Cricetulus griseus: one gene and its partner. The protein of the gene in region 2 purifies or fractionates together with the protein of the main gene of each other region. This does not show direct contact. Links are inferred from orthologs where the notes say so. Each region holds a gene or a part of one and is shown on either strand. Other genes may lie near its edges. The genes, in order: Vcp and Ppp1r11.

What was found.
Region 1: the proteins of Ppp1r11 (region 2) and Vcp purify together in Homo sapiens (affinity purification with western blotting; 3 studies listed by BioGRID, with this or other methods). This does not show direct contact. The link is inferred for Cricetulus griseus from reciprocal best matches to the Homo sapiens genes PPP1R11 and VCP.

The regions. Positions count from the first base shown.
Region 1 is NC_048595.1:100,551,578-100,555,388, forward strand, and holds part of Vcp (transitional endoplasmic reticulum ATPase), read left to right. Parts: intron 1-397; coding exon 398-510; intron 511-995; coding exon 996-1,160; intron 1,161-1,246; coding exon 1,247-1,369; intron 1,370-1,812; coding exon 1,813-2,025; intron 2,026-2,189; coding exon 2,190-2,498; intron 2,499-2,726; coding exon 2,727-2,882; intron 2,883-3,680; coding exon 3,681-3,811. UniProt on the Homo sapiens protein: Necessary for the fragmentation of Golgi stacks during mitosis and for their reassembly after mitosis. Involved in the formation of the transitional endoplasmic reticulum (tER).
Region 2 is NW_023276806.1:228,772,722-228,777,026, reverse strand, and holds the start of Ppp1r11 (E3 ubiquitin-protein ligase PPP1R11), read right to left. Parts: upstream 3,048-4,305; 5' UTR 2,890-3,047; coding exon 2,821-2,889; intron 1,359-2,820; coding exon 1,250-1,358; intron 921-1,249; coding exon 718-920; 3' UTR 1-717. UniProt on the Homo sapiens protein: Atypical E3 ubiquitin-protein ligase which ubiquitinates TLR2 at 'Lys-754' leading to its degradation by the proteasome.

The DNA of each region.
Region 1 (3,811 bases), on a different chromosome or scaffold from region 2:
GTCTTTCATCTACATTGTTTTTTTTCTATTCTGTATTCCCTCTAGAGCAGTGGTTCTCAACCTTTCTAATGCTGCCACCCTTTAATACAGTTCCTCATGTTGTGGTGAGCTCCCTGATCATAAAATTACGTTGTTGCTACTTTCATAACTAATTTTGCCACTGTTACGAATCATAATGTAAATATCTGATATGGGAAGGGCCCTTTGACCCCAAAGGGGTTGTGACCCACAGGTTGAGAACCATTGCTCTAGAGTAACTACCCGTCTTGGTTTCCCTAAACCTGAAGAATTTCCAGGTTGTGAGGCATTAATGTTAACTCTAAATAAGAGAGTTTTGGAGTGACTTCACTGTGGACCAGAAATTGTTCCTATTTTACATTCCTGCATTTTCCCACAGGTCGCTTTGACAGAGAGGTAGATATTGGAATCCCTGATGCTACAGGACGCTTGGAAATTCTTCAGATCCATACCAAGAACATGAAACTGGCAGATGATGTGGACTTGGAACAGGTGGAGTGGTGATGATGGCTGGCCAAAACCTTGGGTAGCTCTGTTTTTAGGAAGTTGCAAGGGACTACTAACATAGTCTAAGATAAGAGTTCATATCAGTAATCCCAGAATTTGGGGAGGGTGAGGCAGAGGCAGGAGGATCTTGAGTTTGAGGTCAGTGTGGGCTACCCAGCAAGAGTCTATCTTTTCATTTTTTTTTTTTTTTAGAGCTGCATGGAGCTTATTTTGATTTCAGGGTAGAAAATGTGTTTCTTAATTGTTGCTCTGTTAAGAGTAATTCATACATTGTTGAACAGCTTTATTTCTAGCTCCCAAATCCAGGCTTAAGTATTTAATACTTGCCACTAAAAGGTCTGCTGTAGTATATATCTCTTTAAGGAAATAAAAGGAATCAGAGATAGGAATCGGGGTGGACTCAGGATTCTGTTTCTGACTTCTTAAGGAAGTGGTTTCTTGAGGATAGTCAGTAGATCTTTTCTCTGCAGGTAGCCAATGAGACTCATGGCCATGTAGGTGCTGATTTGGCAGCCCTGTGTTCAGAGGCTGCTCTGCAGGCCATCCGGAAAAAAATGGACCTTATTGATCTTGAGGATGAGACCATTGATGCAGAGGTCATGAATTCCTTGGCAGTTACTATGGATGATTTCCGGGTAAGGACTATATCCACAAATAGTTATTTTGTTGTATGCACCCCCCACCCTCCATCTCATTCCCCTTTTTCAAACACCCTTTTTAGTGGGCCTTGAGTCAAAGCAACCCATCAGCACTTCGGGAAACTGTGGTAGAGGTGCCACAAGTAACCTGGGAAGACATTGGAGGCTTGGAAGATGTCAAACGGGAGCTTCAGGAACTGGTTCAGGTAGGCCAATTTGCTCTAGGGTGGTGGGTCATTGCCTCAATGTATAGTAATTGGCCGTTTAGGTCTCAGACTCAAATCTACTTAGAATTGTGACTATAATTCAGAAGCCTGCTCTTACTGAGTTTTAGGTAGTAAGGAGCCTATTTAAAAACTAGCACCATAGACCATAGGATGTGCCACAAAGTAGATGATATGCTTCTGATTTTTTTAAAAGATTTTATTTATTTATTATGTTTGCCTGCATGCCAGCAGAGGGCACCAGATATCATTCAAGGTGGTTGTGAGCCACCAGATAGTTGCTGAGAATTGAACTCAGGACCTCTGGAAGAACAGTCAATGCTCTTAACTGCTGAGCCACCTCTCCAGCCCTATGCTTCTGATTAATAACGATTTTATTTAAAATATTGAGAGGTTGCCCTTAAATCATCTTTGCTTTCTTCTAGTATCCTGTGGAGCATCCAGACAAATTCCTCAAATTTGGAATGACCCCTTCCAAAGGTGTTCTCTTCTATGGACCTCCTGGTTGTGGGAAGACCTTGCTGGCCAAAGCCATTGCTAATGAATGCCAGGCTAACTTCATCTCTATCAAGGGTCCTGAGCTGCTCACCATGTGGTTTGGGGAATCTGAGGCCAATGTCAGGGAAATTTTTGACAAGGTGAGTTTTCAGAGGCTGGCTGTTCATATGTTTGGGGGCAAGGTAAGATAGGAGGCTATTTCTTCATAGTCAAAACTATTTTATTACTGGCAGCTCAGTGATTGCTTTCTTCTGAAGTTTGAGAGATTAATTAATATTTGAGTTGATCTCTTTCTTTCTCCCAGGCACGGCAAGCTGCCCCCTGTGTACTATTCTTTGATGAGTTAGATTCAATTGCCAAGGCTCGTGGTGGTAATATTGGAGATGGTGGTGGAGCTGCTGACCGAGTCATCAATCAGATCCTGACAGAAATGGATGGCATGTCCACAAAAAAGAATGTGTTTATCATTGGAGCTACCAACCGGCCTGACATCATTGATCCTGCTATCCTAAGACCTGGCCGTCTTGATCAGCTCATCTATATCCCACTTCCTGATGAGAAGTCCCGTGTTGCCATCCTGAAGGCTAACCTGCGCAAGTCTCCAGTTGCCAAGGCATGTGCAAAGTTGTCAGCCATGAAGCCTTTTTTTCTATCCTGGATAGGATGCCATTGGGGATTTGTAGGTTTTCTAAAGGCAATATGAGAGATTTGTGAATATTAGGATAATTTAAGAGATACAGAATAAAATGGGGTGGCAGAGCCAAGAGTAGCTCAAAGATCTATGTGTCCCATGGGAGGCAGTTAACGATGCTAAACTAAGTAGCTTTTTTGCTTCCTTTAGGATGTGGATTTGGAGTTCCTGGCTAAGATGACAAATGGCTTTTCTGGAGCTGATCTGACAGAGATTTGCCAACGTGCTTGTAAACTGGCCATTCGTGAATCTATTGAGAGTGAGATTAGGCGAGAACGAGAGAGGCAGACAAATCCATCAGCTATGGTGAGTCAGTATCTTTGTTCAAATGTGCCATTCTAGGGACCATCCTCCATGACCCAGAGTTGAGAGTAGAAGGTATTAGGAGGGTCCCTTTACTGAGATGTTAAGCAGGGAATCCTAGAAAATGAATAAACAGCTAAGCTGGGTGTGGTGCAGGCATATTCCAGCTCTCGGTGAATGCAGCAAGATGAGAAATAAAGGGCCCTACATGAGACTTTTAGAGATAAAGGGTTGGGTTGGGTAAGCTTGATGCCTTGAGGGAAATGAAAGTATGATTGTGCAACAGAACAGAACAGGGTTTTTTATTTATTTAATTTTATTTTTATATGCACTGGTGTTTTGCCTGCATGTATATGTGTGTGAGGGTGTCTGATTCCCTGGAACTGGAGGTATGGACAGTTGTGATCTGTCATATGGGTGCTGGAATTGAGCCTGGGTCCTCTGGAAGAGCAGCCAGTTCTCTTAACTGCTGAGGCATCTCTCGAACCCTCTGGAAAAGGATTTTTAAACTGAAGTCTGGACTTCAGCATCCTGGTGGGGAAGGGAATTCTTGTACTCTCAAAATAGAAAAATTAAGTATAAGAATGTAAAAACTATGAAATTTACAATTCTGTCTCTACTGTAGTTCCACTGTTTGGAGGTTTGTGAATGAATAAGAAATGAGCAAGTTGCTTTCTTTACCCTTTGGAGAGGTCCTTTGTGTCAATAAACTGCTACAGTGGTGGGAGGGAAAGGAGTCGAGGAATAGAGTGAAAGCTGGGTCCTAACTAGCATAGTGATCGGTGCTTACCAACTTCATAGGAAGTAGAAGAGGATGATCCAGTGCCTGAGATTCGCAGAGACCACTTTGAAGAAGCCATGCGCTTTGCTCGTCGTTCTGTCAGTGATAATGACATTCGAAAGTATGAAATGTTCGCCCAGACACTTCAGCA
Region 2 (4,305 bases):
CTCCCTCTTTCCTTTAAGGGACCCAGGCCCCTTAGACAACAGCGATGAAGCTCAAAGATTAAAGGCTGAGAAACTTGTAGGCTCTAAGTCATTGGTCTCAGCCAGCTCAGAAATGCTATATTCAGGTCATGACTATTTTTGGGGTCCACTTTCCATTATAGGTTCTGACCCTTTTGAGGGTCAGAAGGGGTAAGAGCAGAACCCTATGGTGTCCCCAAAACCTTAGATTCCCACAGGCAAGGACTAAGATTTAGGATAACTTCGTAAGTGGAAGAACTGTAAGCCAGGATTAATATGCAGAGCTGGGGTGCAATATTGCTTGGAATCTGACTGGGGTCCTGGCAGTGAAAGCTGGGATGGTTGAAAACCCAATTTAAATGCTTGGGACTCAAGCTAAGGGTGCAGGTGGCCAAGATAACTGGATCCCAGGACAGGTGTTTTGGCAGTGAGAACAAAAGGGACAGACTGAGACCAAGATGCCTGAATCCCAGGCACAGAGCAAACTGTAGGGAAGGAGAGGCTGGGAGAACCCAGAAGCCTGGGTTCTGGAACAGCAGCAAGTCAGAATTCCAGGATCTCTATCCACCCTCCTCTTCCTCTTCTCTATCAGGCAGGAGAGGGAAGGAGGGGGCAGGAGAAGGGATCAGACCATGGGTTGAATCCCCATGTAGCCAGATGGATACATTTGGGGCCAGGCAGACACATGGTGAGAGGGATTTAGTGCTGCATAGGTCCTGGAGGGGGCTGAGATGGGTCAGGAGGCTGGGGGGGAGTGGTTGGAGTGGGTCCTGGGGTTGAATGACGCCGTCCTTTGCGGTGACCCCGCACACAGTGTGTGTGACCACAACCTTCTTCTTCATCCTCCTCACTCTCGGTGGAGCTCTCACCAAAGGCCCGAGGTTTCTCATAAATACAGCAGCCTAGATGTAGGGAGAGGAAATCAGTTAAGAAGGATGAGGAACACAATGTCCAGTCTGTTTCATTTCCAACAGATTTATGTGCAATTTTTCTCCCACCTTCCAGAATCCATGCCCCTTAAGCCTCCCACCCCAGGGACTCTGGCATCCACACTCTTTGTCTCTTCAGAGACCCAGAAGCATCTTTCTCCCACTCCGACATGGCTTGCTCCACAGACTTGGCAACTCTTAGTTTTAGCTCTATCCCCATCTATTTTCTTTCCCAAGAAAGTAAAGAGAACCGTAAAGGTCTGGGAGGCAGTGGTGAGGGCTGCTGGGGCAACAGCACTCACATTTTGATGAGCGGCGCCCCATGTGTTCATTGTCCACAGTGTCACTTGTCCATTCCACCTTTTTCTCTGGCTTCCGTTTCCGAAGTTTAATGGTTAGGCTCCGATTCTCCTGTAAGGTTAAGAGGTATGGGCCCATCTAGCTAATCTCCTCTTGACCTTTCCTGTTTCCCAAGGTACCTCCTCTTTTCTCCTCCCTTGCTCAATCAGTACCATACACCAGGCCACTGGAGGAGCCGGGTGCTGGGAGCCAAAACAGACCATGTTTTTAACCTTTTCATGAGGAATGTGAACTCCTATTCTTGAAAACTACTAGTATGCAAAAAGGACAGTCCTTAACCTAGGGAAGGTGCCGGTAAATCTCCAAAGGAAAGCACAACCCTCCCTGTTTCTTCATCTTCCTTCCAAATCATCCTTGGTGGTGCCAATACCGGAGAGTTATTTTCTCAGTTCCCTGTGACTGGTCTTTGGCCTTCCTTCCTTTCTCCACACCTCTTACTTACGTTCCCGCTAAAGAGATTAGAAGCATGTGAGCTAAGCATATAGGAGACGGAGACAGAAGCCAACAGAAGCCAGCCTCTGCAATGTGGTAAAGCTTTTCCTTTCAAAAACAAAATAAAAATTTAAAAAATAATAATAAAGCAGGGCTTCCGAGACAGTTCTGTTGGTAAAGTGCTTCCTGAGTTTGATTCCCAAAATCCATATTTAAAAAAAAAAAGTTAGGTGTAGTGGTGGTGCATGTTTGTAATACCAGTACTGGAGATGTGAAGACAGGCAGATCTCTTGACAGCCAGTCTAGCTGACTTGGCAGCTCCAGGAAAAATGATTTTCTCAAATCAACAAGCAAAGCAAAACAAAACAAAACAAAACACACACACACACACACACAAACAGGTACACCGTGCCTGAGAAAAATCTAAGGTTGACTTCTGCCCCTGCCACACCTGAACAAGCAAAATAAAACAAAAATCCAAAACCCTTCTTCTCCAAAGAAAGCCTTCATTCTCTAACATCCTGGCATCTCTGGCAATAATTACTAAACTCCTTCAACCCAGACATTACGCCCAACCCATCTTCCTCCCCTTGAAAGCAATTTAACTTGCTTTTGCAAAATTCTACTTGTTTCCTTATTTGCGTCTCTCCTCTCTGATCTGTCAAAATACTACCTTCACCTTATTTTGTTTCCTTATTCCCTGCCCCCCACTTTAACACGCACCCATTCCATGACTATCTATTGGTTAAGTACTCGTCCTTTACGTTTGCCTCCAAAACCATGCTTTCTCAAATAGCCTTTCCTTCCCTCCCAGGACCTTCCTTGCTGCCTTAACCCAGGTTCCGTTTATTACGTACACAGACCACCGCATCAAGCCGTGACACCTATACCCTGACTGTAACGTCCCTTGACTGGTCACTATCACGATCTGAGCCACTCCAAGCATCCCCAGTCCCTGGCGATCTTCCCAAGAGTCATCCCCACATGTCCCAGATCCCAAACCCTCCAACTTTCCAAAGCCCTACTTCCCTCCCAGTTCCTCCCAGACCCCTAAATAGGCCCCCCCGCCCGCCTTTCTCACGGGCTCGGTTGTCACGGTAACCGTTGTCTCAGTGACGGTCTCACTCAGCCCGGCCCCTGCCTCCGCCATGGCTAAAGCGAAAAGCCAGGAAGCGGGATGGGACACCCTTCCCTTTTTCTGCGCTTCTGGGATCTAAGAGATCCGGTACTCGATTCAGAGTAGCGGCCAGGAACCTCTGGATTCTTATTCTTCCCTTCCTCCAGGGCCTCTGCTTCCCCACCCCTGGGCATAACCTGTCCAATCCCACTTCCGGCCTTTCACTTCCGGGTGTGACGCATCCTGCAGAACCCAGTTTCCCTTCACCGGCACGGCTCGGGCAAAAGCGCAGGCGTCGCCAGATCAGTTCCGCCGTATTCTAACACTGCGCAGACGCCGCAGGTAGCAGAAGTGACGTCACTGTGGGGCGGGGCCAGCTCCTTCAGGGCCTAAGTTCATTGGGGGAAGAGTCAACTCCGGAGCTGCGGAGCGCAGAGGATGTGCGATCTGTGTGCTCAGCACCCCTAACCCTGTCAGCTGTACCCATAAACCTGGGCGGGAAAGTAAGTGGGACTCGGCCAAGTTCCATTTTCTTATCATTCTGTCGAGAAACCGTTTTCCAGGAGCAGGAAACGCACTGGGTTCTAGTCCTCTCTCTGTAAGTCTGGGAGGGAGAGCACACTAAATTTGGAATTTTCCCAGCGTGGTAGGTCCTAAAATAAAAGTATTCCCTGTTATTCTAGTTCCCAGTTTGAAGAATACCAAGGCTAGGCTGTGGGGGGCGCCGCAACAAATTCAAAGACATCTGCTTAAATTTTGTTGAATCACTTGCAGTGATATATTATTTATGATTTATTAAAGCCTGCCTGAGGATTCAGAATCAAAGTCAGCCACAAGCCATAGAAGCCAGGCACACACCTTTAATCCCAGCAGTCAGAAGCTAGGAGGTGGTGGTACACACCTTTAGTCCTGAAACTCAGGATTAAGTGGTAGATGGATCTCTCTGAGTTCAAGGCCACCCAGGGATACATGACATTGAATCGGTCTAAAAGAGTGACAGATAACACACCTTTAATCCCAGCACTAGAGGGGTATAGAAGATAGAATCAGGGTCTTCAGGATTCAGTAGGAGGCATTCATTCTCCAGCCACACTGAGGAGAGGCAGCAGTTTGAGGCTTGGTGAAGAGCTCGTGTGTGGATCTGCCCTTTCAGCTTGAGCTTGAGGTGAGAGCTAGTGGCTGGCTGCTTTGCTTCCCTGATCTTCAGCTTGAACCCCAATATTTGTCTCTCGGTCTTTTATTTTTTTCGTGCAACACTACCTATCCAAATATTTTGTTTCCTTACAATGAGGAACTAGATTTAGATAGAATATATGCATATGTCTAACAGCTTTTTTTTTTTTGCCTTTGTAATGGTTAACATTACAATTAGAGTTACTATGCTTGAGAGACCAAAAAAAAAAAAAAAAAAAAAAAAAGCCTGTTAACGTGTAAGCCCCTAGCTTGTAC